Schizosaccharomyces pombe: one gene and its partners. Changing the gene in region 2 together with the main gene of any one other region gives a genetic interaction. Each region holds a gene or a part of one and is shown on either strand. Other genes may lie near its edges.

Region 1 (3,504 bases), on a different chromosome or scaffold from region 2:
AAATAGATAGAATCAACATATCAGTTTTGTATTAGAACATTTTGATACACGTTTCATGATTCATTTATCCAATATAGTTTTAGTAGAATGATATTCATTTTAGTAGATAATCTAAAAAAGCAAATATTAAACTGCATCAGCCGGGAGTCGAACCCGGAGCTAATGCTTGGAAGGCATTGATGTTACCGCTACACCACTGATGCATTTATTATTTAGAGGTTAAAGAATATGTTATATATTGTTACAAAAGCAGTGTCTTAAGAATGTGTATAATTCTGAAGAAATTTTTTGTTGTTTTGAATAATAAGGAATATTTGGTTTATTGATTTACTGGTTCTATTTGTGAATCGGCTTTTGCTCAAAATACCGAATCTATTTTTTGGATATTTTAAAAAAATCAGCAAACATGCACCAAATGCTTAAATCTCTTCAACAATAATGTTTACAACTCGATAGGAAGTGATTACTCAATACTGCAAACCCTTCTTATAAATTTCTTTTATAAATACCTTTTGTATGAATTAAATCAGTACTCACTTCTATGCTAAATACTGAATATTCTCCATATTAAAATATTCTCAATCATTTACAATTCATGCCAAACCCCAATAGGTTTCTAAATTTTTTATTTATAAAAAAGAAAGGAGATACAAAAACTCTAGGATCTCAGGAAGATAGTTTCAATTTCAGGTTTTTATCATCCATAAAAGTTTTATAATTTTTCAATAGAATAAATACAATCCCAAGCTCATCAAACTAAAAGTTAAGACGAGCATTAACAATACATGCCCAATTTTCCAATAAAAACAAAAACAGTAGTTTTTTACCCCATGCTTAATCAGTATCACTATAAACATCTTCTTCAAGCTTACATCCCCATAAATTATCTTCCAAATCCGATAGTTCATCATCCTCTTCTAAAAATAATGGTAGAGCAGGCACTCCTTCAGCAAGAGCATGACTTCGTGGGTTCTCTACATACTTGGAAATTTTCAAATATTTTTCAGAATCAGTTCCTTCATACAAACTAATTGCTTTAGTCCCCTTTTTTGCAAAAATACTGGCTCTCTCAAAATCACCGTGGATGACACATAATCGGAAGGCATCCAGAAGTGCAATTATATCTAACCGACCGAAAAGAAGCTCTTCGTGGGCAATGTGTATCCTATGTCTCAATGCTCTTAGAGCACCTCTTGGATTAACTATACACATTTTTGCCATGGTTCGGTCATAGTAGGCCAGTTGCTTTCTCCTTAAATCGCTGATTTTCCTAATCTTTCGTTCCTCTACAGAGCAAACACTACAATAACATTTAAATCCAAAATGCTCGAGCAATATTTTTTGTCTTTCCGTATGTGATTTATGTAAGTCTATATATGTCGTAAGTATTTCCTCGCCAGCCTCGATGTCGCGAACAGCATGAACCGTAACCTGATCAAGTCTAGGATTCCACGTATGTTTCACGTTAGGACTACAATCGTGATTCATTCGAGAACCAAGTAAAAACATTCCACCCTTTGTCTCATCAATGGTCAGCGCATTGGAATAAAATGGCCCAAGGAATGGTCCCATAGTGTCTGGATGAGCGTTGAAAAGTCTATGAAAAGCTTCCTGTTCTTCTTTTGTTTTTGTAGACAGTGCTTCCTCGATTTCCTTAGCGTCACTTTTTGTCCTTATCAAAGGCGTTTCTGCAAAAATTCTTGTACCGACGGGGATTTTTACTTTTGCAATCATACCCATTCCTTTGTTAGGAATGGGGACAACTTTATAAATCTCTGTTTCATACGGGTTCATGTAGTACGATTAAGCAATACATTAACGCATGGACGCTTAAAGTTTTCAAAGTTTGGAGATTTTGGTGGTTACGAAATACGCTGCAAAAAATAGAGAAAAAGAATCCAATATATATGGATAAAGCTGAAAATAGTTCTTTACTATTTACTCCAATATTTCTTTTTCTTTTATTGTACTTTTAACCCCAATTGGTTATATCACAATTTGTTTTTCCCAAGAGATCTGTCAATTTTCAAAAAAAAAAAAAAAAGAAAAGGAATATAATTCGAATTTCAAAATGTTCAGAGTGTTATGGCATTTTAAATATATTCCTAAATTTATTATTAATTATAGCAATTTGTTTATATTTTATTGTCAAGGATCTTGAATTAATCATAAACTTTGTCATCATATTTTTTTATAAAATCCTTCGTACAAGAAAAATGTAGATTGGCAATTGACGAAACAAAAGCTCCATTTCTTACCGTATCAAAGATATCAAAACACGTAATTAAAATGGTTTAAAAAATCCTTCAAACGATGGTTTAGCATTACCAAAAAATATAATCGCAAGTTTGTGATTAAGCTTAGATTGAAATCCTAGAATTTATTGGTATGTTGATACCTGAAACAGCTTCTGCATTACATTATTATTATTATTTTTTAGATTTAAAAAATAAATGTCAAACTATCATGAAAAAGTACCTAAAATGAAATAAAAGGATGCGCATTATTCGATATGCATGTGGAATTGGTATACTAAAACTTAGAGAATTACTGAACTCAAGAGCAAAATCTTGCTATGGCCAGTTCTTCATAACACAGTACTTTATATGTAGATATTGTTTGAAACGAAAATTGTAAATGTCACTTCGGTTAATGTAAGTTAAATCACTTAAAAGAAACTGTACCAGAGTTTTTGAGATTTAGGATTTGAAGGGTAAACTAGAAATAATTTGATTTATTATAATATTCGGCATTTCCGTACCTTGTCAATGTGTGAATTATGTGCATAGGTATTTCGTAGGGTGAACAAAATGAAACTTGACCAATGTGCCCCATTTCAGACCTTGACAAAATGAATGAAAGTTTTAAGATCAGAGATACTTTTTCACTATAAAATTCTTCATGTCAAGGATTATTATAATCTCACTCTTTCTTACTCGGCGTCGATGATTTTCGGTTCAATAAAAAAAAACAAATTGTTGATTAAAAAGGAATAATAAAAAAGAACGAATCTTATTCTAACTCGCCTACATTTGTTATTATTTACCTACTTTTTTTCTGATATTTACTACTACATGCCCTTTTCAATAATTTGGTAACTCAAGTCACATGTTACTTCGATAACTTTTATGAAATTGTCTTCGTTCATCTTCAACCATTAGTCCCTTACGACTTAGTTGATGAATTTTACTTGAAGTTTACGATACTATTTAATTAGTAAATTTTTCAATCAATAGGAAAAACAAGAAGTTTTCTTATGGAAATGATAATATAGTTACAACTTGACTGACGGCATACTCCTTTCTGTATAAAAAACATAGTTAAGGTCTATTGATAGAATTTTTAATGTGTTTATGATAATATTTTTATTTATTAAAGCGAAATCGAGTTATTAACTTCCTTTTTTGTTCTGATTCACTGTTCTTTTGCATCTAAAATTAAATTTCTTTAAACTCCTTTCGCCGGAAGAAATTCAATCCCTTCGAGAACTATTTGCTTTCAAAT
Region 2 (3,717 bases):
GAACTGCCATTGCAGAAATTGATCAACAAGATTGGGATATAATGGTAAAAGTTCCTACTTATGAGTATTACGGGTTCGTGATGTATTTGGTGTCAATGTTGGGGTTCGGCGTGTATATTGTTTGGGCTCTGACGCCTGCGCCTGTTCTCAAATTTTTTGAGATTCATTATTATCTATCTCGTTGGTGGGCTCTAGCTATTCCTACTTGGTTATTTGTTCTTGTTATTTACATTCACGTTGTGCTAAACGCTTACAATACCGAAGTATTGACTAAGCCATTTAGCAGCTTAGAATGTATCGTTGATCAATACGCACTCGTTGGTGAAGAAGATGGTGCTGCTCATGGTCGAGTTGTTGATCTTCGCCTATGTGATGTGAATAAACAACAACTGGAAGAAACTTAAAAAAGACTAAAAGCAGCTAAGTGATATCAGAATTCATTTTCTCCTTAAAAATCTTCATTATTTAAGGGACTTATTATCTATTGATGTCGTCGACCCATACAGATTTACTTTTAAATCCTGGTTTCCTTAAGTTTCACAATCAAAAAGTATATGTAAATGTATAATATTATAAGAAGGTTGATTAATGCTCTAGTCCTACTACTCCAACCTGCATACTCAAGATTAGATGTTTTTTATATTCCGCTAATAATATACCTAAGAGTTGTTCGTAAACAAAATGTTTTCAGACAAATAATTAGCTATACGAACAAAACACACCAAAACAAGTAAATGAATAGAAGAGAAGTAAAAACAGTATATCTCTTTTTAATAGTTTGACGAGAGTCGTTATTCCCAGTCATCATCGTCTTCATCATCGTCATCAACTTTTCTATTTGCTTCATCCTTCACCTCAAGAGAACTTTGAGAAGCTTCTATATTACTGGAAGATGATACTTTATTTTCCTCTTCTTCTTTAACTTCTCCATCAACCTCTCCATCATGGCTTGCGGGTTGAGTTTCAATTTGTAAGCCTTTTGAAACTGCTGACTCCAAATCATTGACGGTTTCATCTATCACTTCAGCTGCTGAATTATTCTCAGTAGTATCTTCTTCACTTGATTGCTTTTTTTCATCATTAACCTGTTCATTGTCACTTTCTTCTTCATCACTTCTTTCATCTCCCCAACTAAAAATTTCTTCTTCATCGTTTCCTGATTGAATTGCCTTTATCGGCTGTACAACCTCTTTATGCCAAAAAAATCGTTTCCAAAAATCATCATAAGAAACTTCAGAAGGTACTAAAGATTCCATCTGTTTCCTTAAATCAGGATATTCTTCCAAAAGTAAAGAGATCTCTTCAGTTTTCCCATCAATGGAAATTTCTTTTTCCCAGCTTTCAAACGTGATCCCATGAGAGGGTTCAGAGATAATTTGGGTAAAAGTATTTTCGTTTTGAACAAGTTCCAACAACTGTCTCTCGTGGCGATTTAAGAAAACAGACGAAGAGGCTTCGTGTGTAGGAGTCGATACATCGTCTTCTTTGGGTGATATCTGCAATGCTTGATCCAAAAAACCATTCACTGTAGATCCGAAGCCACTCCAGAAACTTCCTGCTGTTTCTTCTACTTTTCGCAAGTTTTCCATAGCAGAATTAACAGGTATATTTTCTTCAAGCTGTGATTTTAATTGCTGCATTCCACTTGAGGCTTTTCCCTTTGTATCATCAAGAAAGTTTTCACTCTTTGAACGGTTAGTAACAATGCCATTATTCGCAATCAACACACCTTTTCTTTCATTGAGTTCCAAAACAAACCAAACTTTCCATTCGTCAGATTCTGTATAAAATGTCAGTAAATTCCGCGCCGTAAATCATCATAAAGGATAAATTACATTTAGAGCCGAACCCATTTCTTCTTTCAGTTTTTCGTATCCCTCTTCATCATCTTCTTCTGTAGTGGTTGTAGGTGCCATATAATCGTACAAATCCATTTTGAATAGTTTAAAAGAAAACTTATGTACTTAGTTGTTAGAATAAGCTCACATGTGTTTGGTAGCAAACAAGCTATATATGTTGTACTTGGCAGCAAGTGAAGATATTGTATAGCCTACCGAATAGTGACACGATTATGCTCGTATTCTGACTATGGACACTTATACTAACTTAGTATACTTCCAATAATACTTTTTAATGAAAAAGGCATTACACAATCCACTACAGCTTATTTTCGTCCAAAAAACAAATTCTAAGTTTTTGAAGTAAAGCAATTTTAAAATATACACAACACCATAAAATTTCACCACTTTGCACTTCGACTTAATCAAATGAGATGTTTTAATAAATAGAATACTTTTAAAACTATATATAAAAAAGCTGCTACTCACAAACTCAGGTAAGTATAAACACTAAGATAAAAGAACGATTGTATTTATAATAAAAGGAATTAGTACCCAATGCTATAAAATTTGATAAACATACAGGGTCTTTATGATTAACTACCAATTATTGTCAGTTCCACAAAGCCATTAGCAGAAGTAAGCAATACAAAGATAACAAAGCACCAGTTAACTAGGTGTTGACATACAACTTTGTTAATGGCTATAGAGTCACGATTCTGGTAGATAAAGTAAAATGCACTTTATATCAGGTCTATTTTGGAGACATAATACCATTTTAATCATACTCAAGACGTTCAACAATGAAAGAGAAACACTCATTTCAAGATAGCAGAAACAGCTCGAGAAGCTATCAAAATGATAACGCCATCAGACCACATTAATAATCATGAGAAAACATTTTGGGTTTCCAAATAACCCTTTAGATTAAGGTCATGAAACAATGAGAGCATCGAGTCAGACTTGCGTATACTTCGACATAAATAAAATACTAAGTAAAGCTTAAAAATGAAAGTACAGGCAATTTTAAAACACTTTAAAGTTCATCGGCCTCATCATCGAAGTAATCATCATCCTCTTCATCAGCATCACCAGCTCCTTCGGAATACAACTTTTGGGTAATAGGATGAACAACGGCATCGAGTTTTTGACGCTGATCTTCAAATTCTTCCTTGCTGGCATCTTCTCCGTGGATTTCAAGCCATTCAGCAACATCTTCGACAGCGTCCAAAACAGCTTGCTTATCTTCGGGATCAACCTTACCACCTAATTGCTCATCATCGTCAAATTGACCTTTCAAAGAATAGGCGTAGTTTTCAAGAGTATTACGAGCTTCAATACGCTCCTTCAAAATCTTATCTTCTTCAGCGAATTCTTCGGCCTCCTTAACCATGCGCTCGATATCTTCCTCAGACAAACGACCTTTGTCATTCTTGATAACAAGCTTCTCAGGCTTACCCTTACCAGACTTGTCGACGGCTGAAACAGTCAAAACACCATTGGCATCGACTTCAAACGTGACTTCAATTTGGGGAACACCACGAGGGGCAGGAGGAATACCACGAAGGTCAAATTTTCCAAGAAGGTTGTTGTCCTTAGTAAGAGTACGTTCACCTTCATAGACTTGAATTAAAACAGTATTTTGATTGTCAACCGCAGTAGAGAAAATTTGCGACTTACGAGTAGGAATAGGAGTGTTACGACCGATAAGTTTAGTCATAACACCACCGGTAGTCTCAATACCTAAAGTAAGAGGGATAACGTCCAAGAGGACAATGTTATCACTTCCTTCCTCGCCAGATAAAACGCCGGCTTGAACAGCAGCACCATAGGCAACAGCCTCATCGGGATTGATACCCTTAGAAGCCTTCTTACCAAA
Region 3 (5,825 bases), on a different chromosome or scaffold from region 2:
AGTATTAGGACTATATTTACTATGGAAGTACTGTGGAACTAACAGATTGAACGCATTAGGATGAAACTACGAGGAATGAAGTTTCACAATTGATTAAGGCTGAAGATTATGCCACCCTCAAGCAAATTATGCATCCAAGGATTGGATTTGGTACATCTGGTATGTTTTTATTACAAAAGAAGAAAAAATTGAGATTGTTAAGAGATATTTCGCAAGTTGAAGTGGATTGAAAGAGAACGCTAAATAATGCCTCTTTCTTAATAAAGAATTCTCAGTGCTACAGCCGGTAGCTTAAACTACTTTATTGTGTTTTCCTTGATTAGAGTCGAAGTGATATACTTGATCATCGGTCACTTTCCTTACTGCGTATACTAATTTATTGTGATGATCATATTGGTCATATTTCAGAAAGAGTTTTTCGTTCTTCTTCTTCTTTTCTATCTGTTTTGGTCTTTTTTGCTTGGAATGTTATATAACGTGCTTGTACGAAATTGGTTTAAGTGTAATTAGATTTTCAGCTTGCGATTGTTCTCTCTATACATCTTAATGTTTTAACATTATCAAGTTCGTTTATTCATTTACTAATGTTTACAAAGGTTTGAGAGCTGAAATTGGTGCTGGCTTCGCTCGCATGAACTGTTTGACCGTGATTCAAGCCTCACAAGGCTTCGCTGAGTATTTGCTTCAAACCGTACCATCAGCTGCAAAGCTGGGTGTGGTAATTGGACACGATCATAGGCATAAGTCTAATACTTTTGCTCGACTTACTGCTGCAGTGTTCTTGCAAAAAGGATTCAAAACGTATTTCTTCGATCATCTTGTCCATACCCCTTTAGTCCCTTTTGCCGTTAAAACCCTAGGGACTGCAGCTGGTGTTATGATTACTGCTTCCCATAATCCCGCAGCTTATAACGGATACAAGGTCTATTGGGGAAACGGTTGTGCTATCATTCCTCCCCATGACAAGGGAATTGCTGCATGTATAGAAAAAAACTTAACGCCCATTACTTGGGACAAAAATTTGGTTGAAAATCATAAACTAGCAGATCGGGATTTTGCAGTTGGTCTTTTAAAAAACTATTGGTCTCAGCTCCACGAATTCCATTCCGAAAACAACTTTTCCTTGGAAATGAAATCTTTGAAATTTGTTTACACTCCTATTCATGGCGTTGGATTACCATTTGTTACTTCAGCATTACACTTATTTGGCGAACAAGGCGATATGATTTCTGTACCTCTTCAAGATTCTCCAAACCCTGACTTTCCGACTGTGAAATTTCCAAATCCAGAAGAGGAGGGGGCATTGGATTTGGCTTACGAGCAAGCTGATGCTAATGGTATTTCGTATGTCCTTGCAACTGATCCTGACGCAGATCGTTTCGCCTTTGCAGAAAAAATTAATGGTGCTTGGAGAAGATTTACCGGAGATGAAGTTGGTTGTATCCTTGCCTATTTTATATTTCAAGAATACAAAAACGTTGGAAAGCCAATTGATGATTTTTACGTTTTGTCAACTACTGTCTCTAGTGCTATGGTAAAGTCCATGGCCAAAGTAGAAGGATTCCATCATGTTGAAACACTTACTGGATTTAAGTGGTTAGGCAATAAAGCATTAGAATTGGAAAAACAAGGGAAATTTATTGGATTGGCATATGAAGAAGCTCTTGGTTATATGGTAGGTAGTATAGTTAGAGACAAAGACGGGGTTAATGCTTTGATTACGTTCCTTCATCTTTTGAAACGCCTTCAACTTCAGAATCTTTCAATTACCGAGGTTTTTGAGCAAATGTCTAAAAAATATGGTTATTACACTACGCAAAACTCATATTTCCTTTCACGCGACACTCCCAAGCTTCGTGCTTTGGTTGATGCCTTGAGACATTATGACACAAAATCGGGTTATCCGGCAACCCTTGGTAGTAAGAAAATTACAAATGTTCGCGACCTTACTACAGGTTACGACTCAAGCTCCACGGATGGTAAAGCTACTTTACCAGTTTCAAAAAGTTCAGATAACGTAACGTTTGAGCTTGAAAATGGAGAGGTAATTATGACTATTCGCACAAGTGGTACAGAGCCGAAACTTAAGTTTTATATCTGTGCTCGCGGACATTCGCTTGAAGATTCCATAAAGAATGCTACAGAAGTTAAACAGGCTATCAAATCTGAATGGTTTCATCCCCAACAGAACGGACTGGAAGAGCCATGAGTTTTCTCGCGTGTATAATTTTAATTTGAGCTCGTTTTTTAAGCAAAATTATAAATTGCAAACAAAAATATTTCAATAAAGTATTAGATATGATTTCCTGAGTTGTTGTGATTTAAATTTTATCCTTAATTGAAAATTCCTTAAATATCTGATGGAACTACAAAAATATAGAACTTCAATGATCAAGTAATGTTTAGTGTACTATAAAACCATGGCAAGATTCATGTCTAAAGGATGACTACAACTTAATTGGGGCAGTTGTGAGTATTTGTTGGAAAGTACTTGTCGAATACCTCTCAGCAACTGCAAGTAGCTAAGTTGGGGATTTTGAGTGACGACTTCACGGAAGGCGTATGATAAAGCACCAGTAGCGAATCCATTAACACTTGTATCTGCGCTTGTTTGATTATCTTTGCATCCGGATAAAGAAATAACATCAGCAGGAGAAAACTTAACTTGTCTAGAGTACTGTAGAGCGTTGTTATTAAATCCATTGGTAGCACTGGTAAATATATTTTTCACGTTGTTGATAGCTCCCATAATGTCGCCAGAGGCATAAGAAAGGCCAGCATGAAGTACATCCATACCAGATTCTTTTAACATATTTGGCTCCTTTAGAACGCCCTTGGTAGAGTACGTGAAAGGAAGATCGAGAGCTCCACCTGAATGACAAGCTATATTTTGTTAAAAATAGATTAAAATCACTGACTTACAGTCAAAGAGAGCTGTTAAACGACATCCTGCTGGTAAAGGCTTAACCATTATTTCGTGCATTTCATCATCTATAATTTGCCCGGCATATTGATGGTCCAGTGGATATATCGTTTCATCATAACCATCAACTTCGTCTCCATCAAGGTCTTTTGTTTGCCCTCCGTGGCCCTATGCATGTGAGTATGAGATGTAAAGTGATGATTCTTACACTATAGTGAAAAAATAATGCATCCTAAATAGTTAGCATTAGGAAGTAAATCCCATGACATATAACTTACATTAGGTTGGGCATCACTTACTAACCATCTCATCGCATCTAACATATTTTGACGAGTGGGAATTGCCCTTTGGTTGCTTGCCGTGTCTGTCATAATAACTAAAAAAGTTTTAGCAAGATGTTCTCGTAATCAACCATACCCATATCTTCTTGCTTGTAACCGTAGCGCTGTATCAGCAGTTGGGACATAGACATGACATCTTAAACAAGTTAATATATGTTTACTTGACCTTTCGCATTCCGTACCATTAATGCAACCTTGCAACTCATTTTGGGTATTGAGATAGTTAATTCCGATCAGCAAAGCCTTTCGCTTCCCTTGGCAAGTTGAATACTGATACTGAAAGTTTCCTCCTCCTGCTAAGTTATAAGATTGAGTCTGAGTGTTTGGCAGCTGAGGCCCACTATAATTTGGGTTGCCATAAGAATTAGCACCAGTATTCGGAGGCGGACCTGAGGGTGGGGCATAAGCATGGGAGTTTGCAGAGCTCAAACTTATATGACCAACATTCTCCATAGGGATTTGATTAGAATTGCCGTCTGTCTGAGGCCTTGTGGAAGGGGGTGGCATACGTGGAGGCTGATATTGATGTACAGTGTTATTACTTTGAGAACCATTATTTGGTGAATAATTAGGTCTAGTATATGTATTATATGGTGGATATTGCCCACCGTTATAAGGATTGGAGTTGTAGCTCATGTTGATGGGAAGTTGGATAGTGCTTAACTATGCTACTTTCAATAAAATACCAGATCTCACAGGTTATAACTAAAGCAAAATCAATTTGACTACAGTATATACATTTAAAAAAAAAATTAATTGCAAAAGATGCGAGCAATATATTATAATCATACCACACATCAAAACGTATTATACACGAAAGAGCTGCTACACGAAGAAATAATTTAATACGATGAAAAATCAAGTAATGTATAAAGCAATAAGTGAAAACCTAGCCGGCATAGTCTAAAAAGAGTGAAACAAAATCCGAAGATTGTTGATGGATTAAATAAAAACCTAACCTAACCTAAACTAACTAAAGCATTTTGAGGAACCAAAGAAAATATTGAAAGACTTAGAGTGAAAGAAATGAAATTTAAAAATGTGCAGACAAAGCTCTCTGATTATCGACACTCAAAGTGGCAATGACAGAATTAACTTGATCAGCAGGGAAACGAGCTAAGTAAACCTTCGAAGCTTCCATCAAACGTGTCAAAGTTCTTCCACGTAAAACTCCAGATGCAAATGTTTCTGCTAAAATCGTAATAATCGTTGGCATTTGTGAGGCAACGGCCACGTGATTTTGTTCCATCAATTCCGCAAGGAAAGTGTAAGCATAAGGAGCGTCATCTTCATCATGTGTTACAGGAAGTGTATTAATCCAATACGTTACAACTTTGTCAAGATCCTGAACACGTTGGCTACAAAAGCGGCAAATTTTGCATATCGCAACACAAATATTTTCTGTGGCATAAATTTGTTCTTCATCACGGGCATCAGGAAGCTCGAGCATCTTAAACAATGCGGGCAAAGCACTAGAGCAGATTTCAGCATACAACTCTCCTCCATGCTGAGCGGCTACTCCAATACCGTACGAGGCAGCTTGTCGAATTTCTGGTTCGCTACTTTGAATACCTTCAGCTAAGTAAGGCAAAAAGTGATCCTTGTAGTTCCAAGAATCGGGTCCAGTAAATTCAATTAAGTCATCCATCATGCATAGAGCCCATTGCTTAGCTACAGTGTCGTTTCCAGACAAAAAGCCATCCATGTACGGTAGTAGCCTTTCCCAAAAAGGGCAGAAAGCAGTTTTGTGAATTTTTAATACAACACTAAAAGTCTTGTTTATTTCGTTTAACAAGTTTTGATCATTTTCGACTGCAAGAATCATGTCCTCATCTTCTTCAATATCTATGTCACCATTTTTAGCCTCCTCCTCACGCTGCTGCACGCGAGAAATGAATCCTTTGAGCTGCAAATCAACGGCAGCAACGAGTGCTTCCATCGAAGAAGGACTCAGATTCAAGCCGCTGATTTCCAAACTTTGATAGAAACATTCAAAATAGTCGGCAAGCATTTCCACGCTTGGTTCATTTTGTATATGATCCAACAGCTTTCGTAAAATAGGCTCCCAAAGCTCATTGACTTTAGCTGGATCACGATTGCTAGCTAAAATCCGAGCGTTCAATAACTGAGGAATACACTTACAACAAGCAGAACGAACCCCGTCGTGAAAGAAGAACTTCAATCCTGGAAGTACAACAGATGTCAAAACTTCATTGACGTAAGGATCAAAGTCAGCTTTTAACTCAGCAGCATAGCAGACAAGCATTTCGGTGGCAGTACACTTGTCTTCTAACGTACTAGTCCTAATACCAACCTGTTGACCATGAACGGGAATGAACTCCCAACCATCTTGTTCAGAATATTTGCTTTCATCAACCTCGTCGTCTATAATTGTGAAGTCAGGTTTCGAGGTAGCAGCAACCAACAGAGGAGGCATAACTGAACTCAAAAATGGGACAAAATCGCTTCCTAAAACACGGCAAATTCTTCCCCAGGCAGAGATGAGATAACTAGCTTGAGGATCATCACTGTCAGTAATACCCATTTGAATGTTACCTAAA

What was found. A genetic interaction does not mean that the proteins touch.
Region 1: mutations in SPOM_SPAC22A12.14C (region 2) and set5 together harm fitness less than expected from each alone (positive genetic interaction), as found in Schizosaccharomyces pombe (one large-scale study listed by BioGRID).
Region 3: mutations in SPOM_SPAC22A12.14C (region 2) and pca1 together harm fitness less than expected from each alone (positive genetic interaction), as found in Schizosaccharomyces pombe (one large-scale study listed by BioGRID).

Annotation. Positions count from the first base shown.
Region 1 is NC_003421.2:2,034,051-2,037,554, reverse strand, and holds set5 (histone lysine methyltransferase Set5), read right to left. Parts: upstream 1,877-3,504; 5' UTR 1,795-1,876; coding exon 835-1,794; 3' UTR 562-834; downstream 1-561. UniProt on the Schizosaccharomyces pombe protein: Histone methyltransferase that monomethylates 'Lys-5', 'Lys-8' and 'Lys-12' of histone H4 (H4K5me1, H4K8me1 and H4K12me1, respectively), thereby controlling gene expression and remodeling chromatin structures.
Region 2 is NC_003424.3:1,180,438-1,184,154, forward strand, and holds SPOM_SPAC22A12.14C (BSD domain-containing protein), read right to left. Parts: upstream 2,028-3,717; 5' UTR 1,935-2,027; coding exon 1,836-1,934; exon of another isoform or gene 1,781-1,835; coding exon 1,730-1,780; exon of another isoform or gene 1,686-1,729; coding exon 792-1,685; 3' UTR 562-791; downstream 1-561. Other genes in the region: mug84 (pig-P phosphatidylinositol N-acetylglucosaminyltransferase subunit), read left to right, coding at 1-404; bip1 (ER heat shock protein BiP), read right to left, coding at 2,875-3,717.
Region 3 is NC_003421.2:2,262,042-2,267,866, reverse strand, and holds pca1 (metacaspase Pca1), read right to left. Parts: upstream 3,901-5,825; coding exon 3,447-3,900; exon of another isoform or gene 3,401-3,446; coding exon 3,341-3,400; exon of another isoform or gene 3,300-3,340; coding exon 3,202-3,299; exon of another isoform or gene 3,175-3,201; intron 3,156-3,174; coding exon 3,132-3,155; intron 3,092-3,131; coding exon 2,923-3,091; intron 2,884-2,922; coding exon 2,411-2,883; 3' UTR 2,210-2,410; coding exon of another isoform or gene 597-2,209; 3' UTR 562-596; downstream 1-561. Other genes in the region: pgm2 (phosphoglucomutase), read left to right, coding at 60-159, 597-2,209; karyopherin/importin beta family nuclear import signal receptor Sal3, read right to left, coding at 4,298-5,825. UniProt on the Schizosaccharomyces pombe protein: Involved in cell death (apoptosis).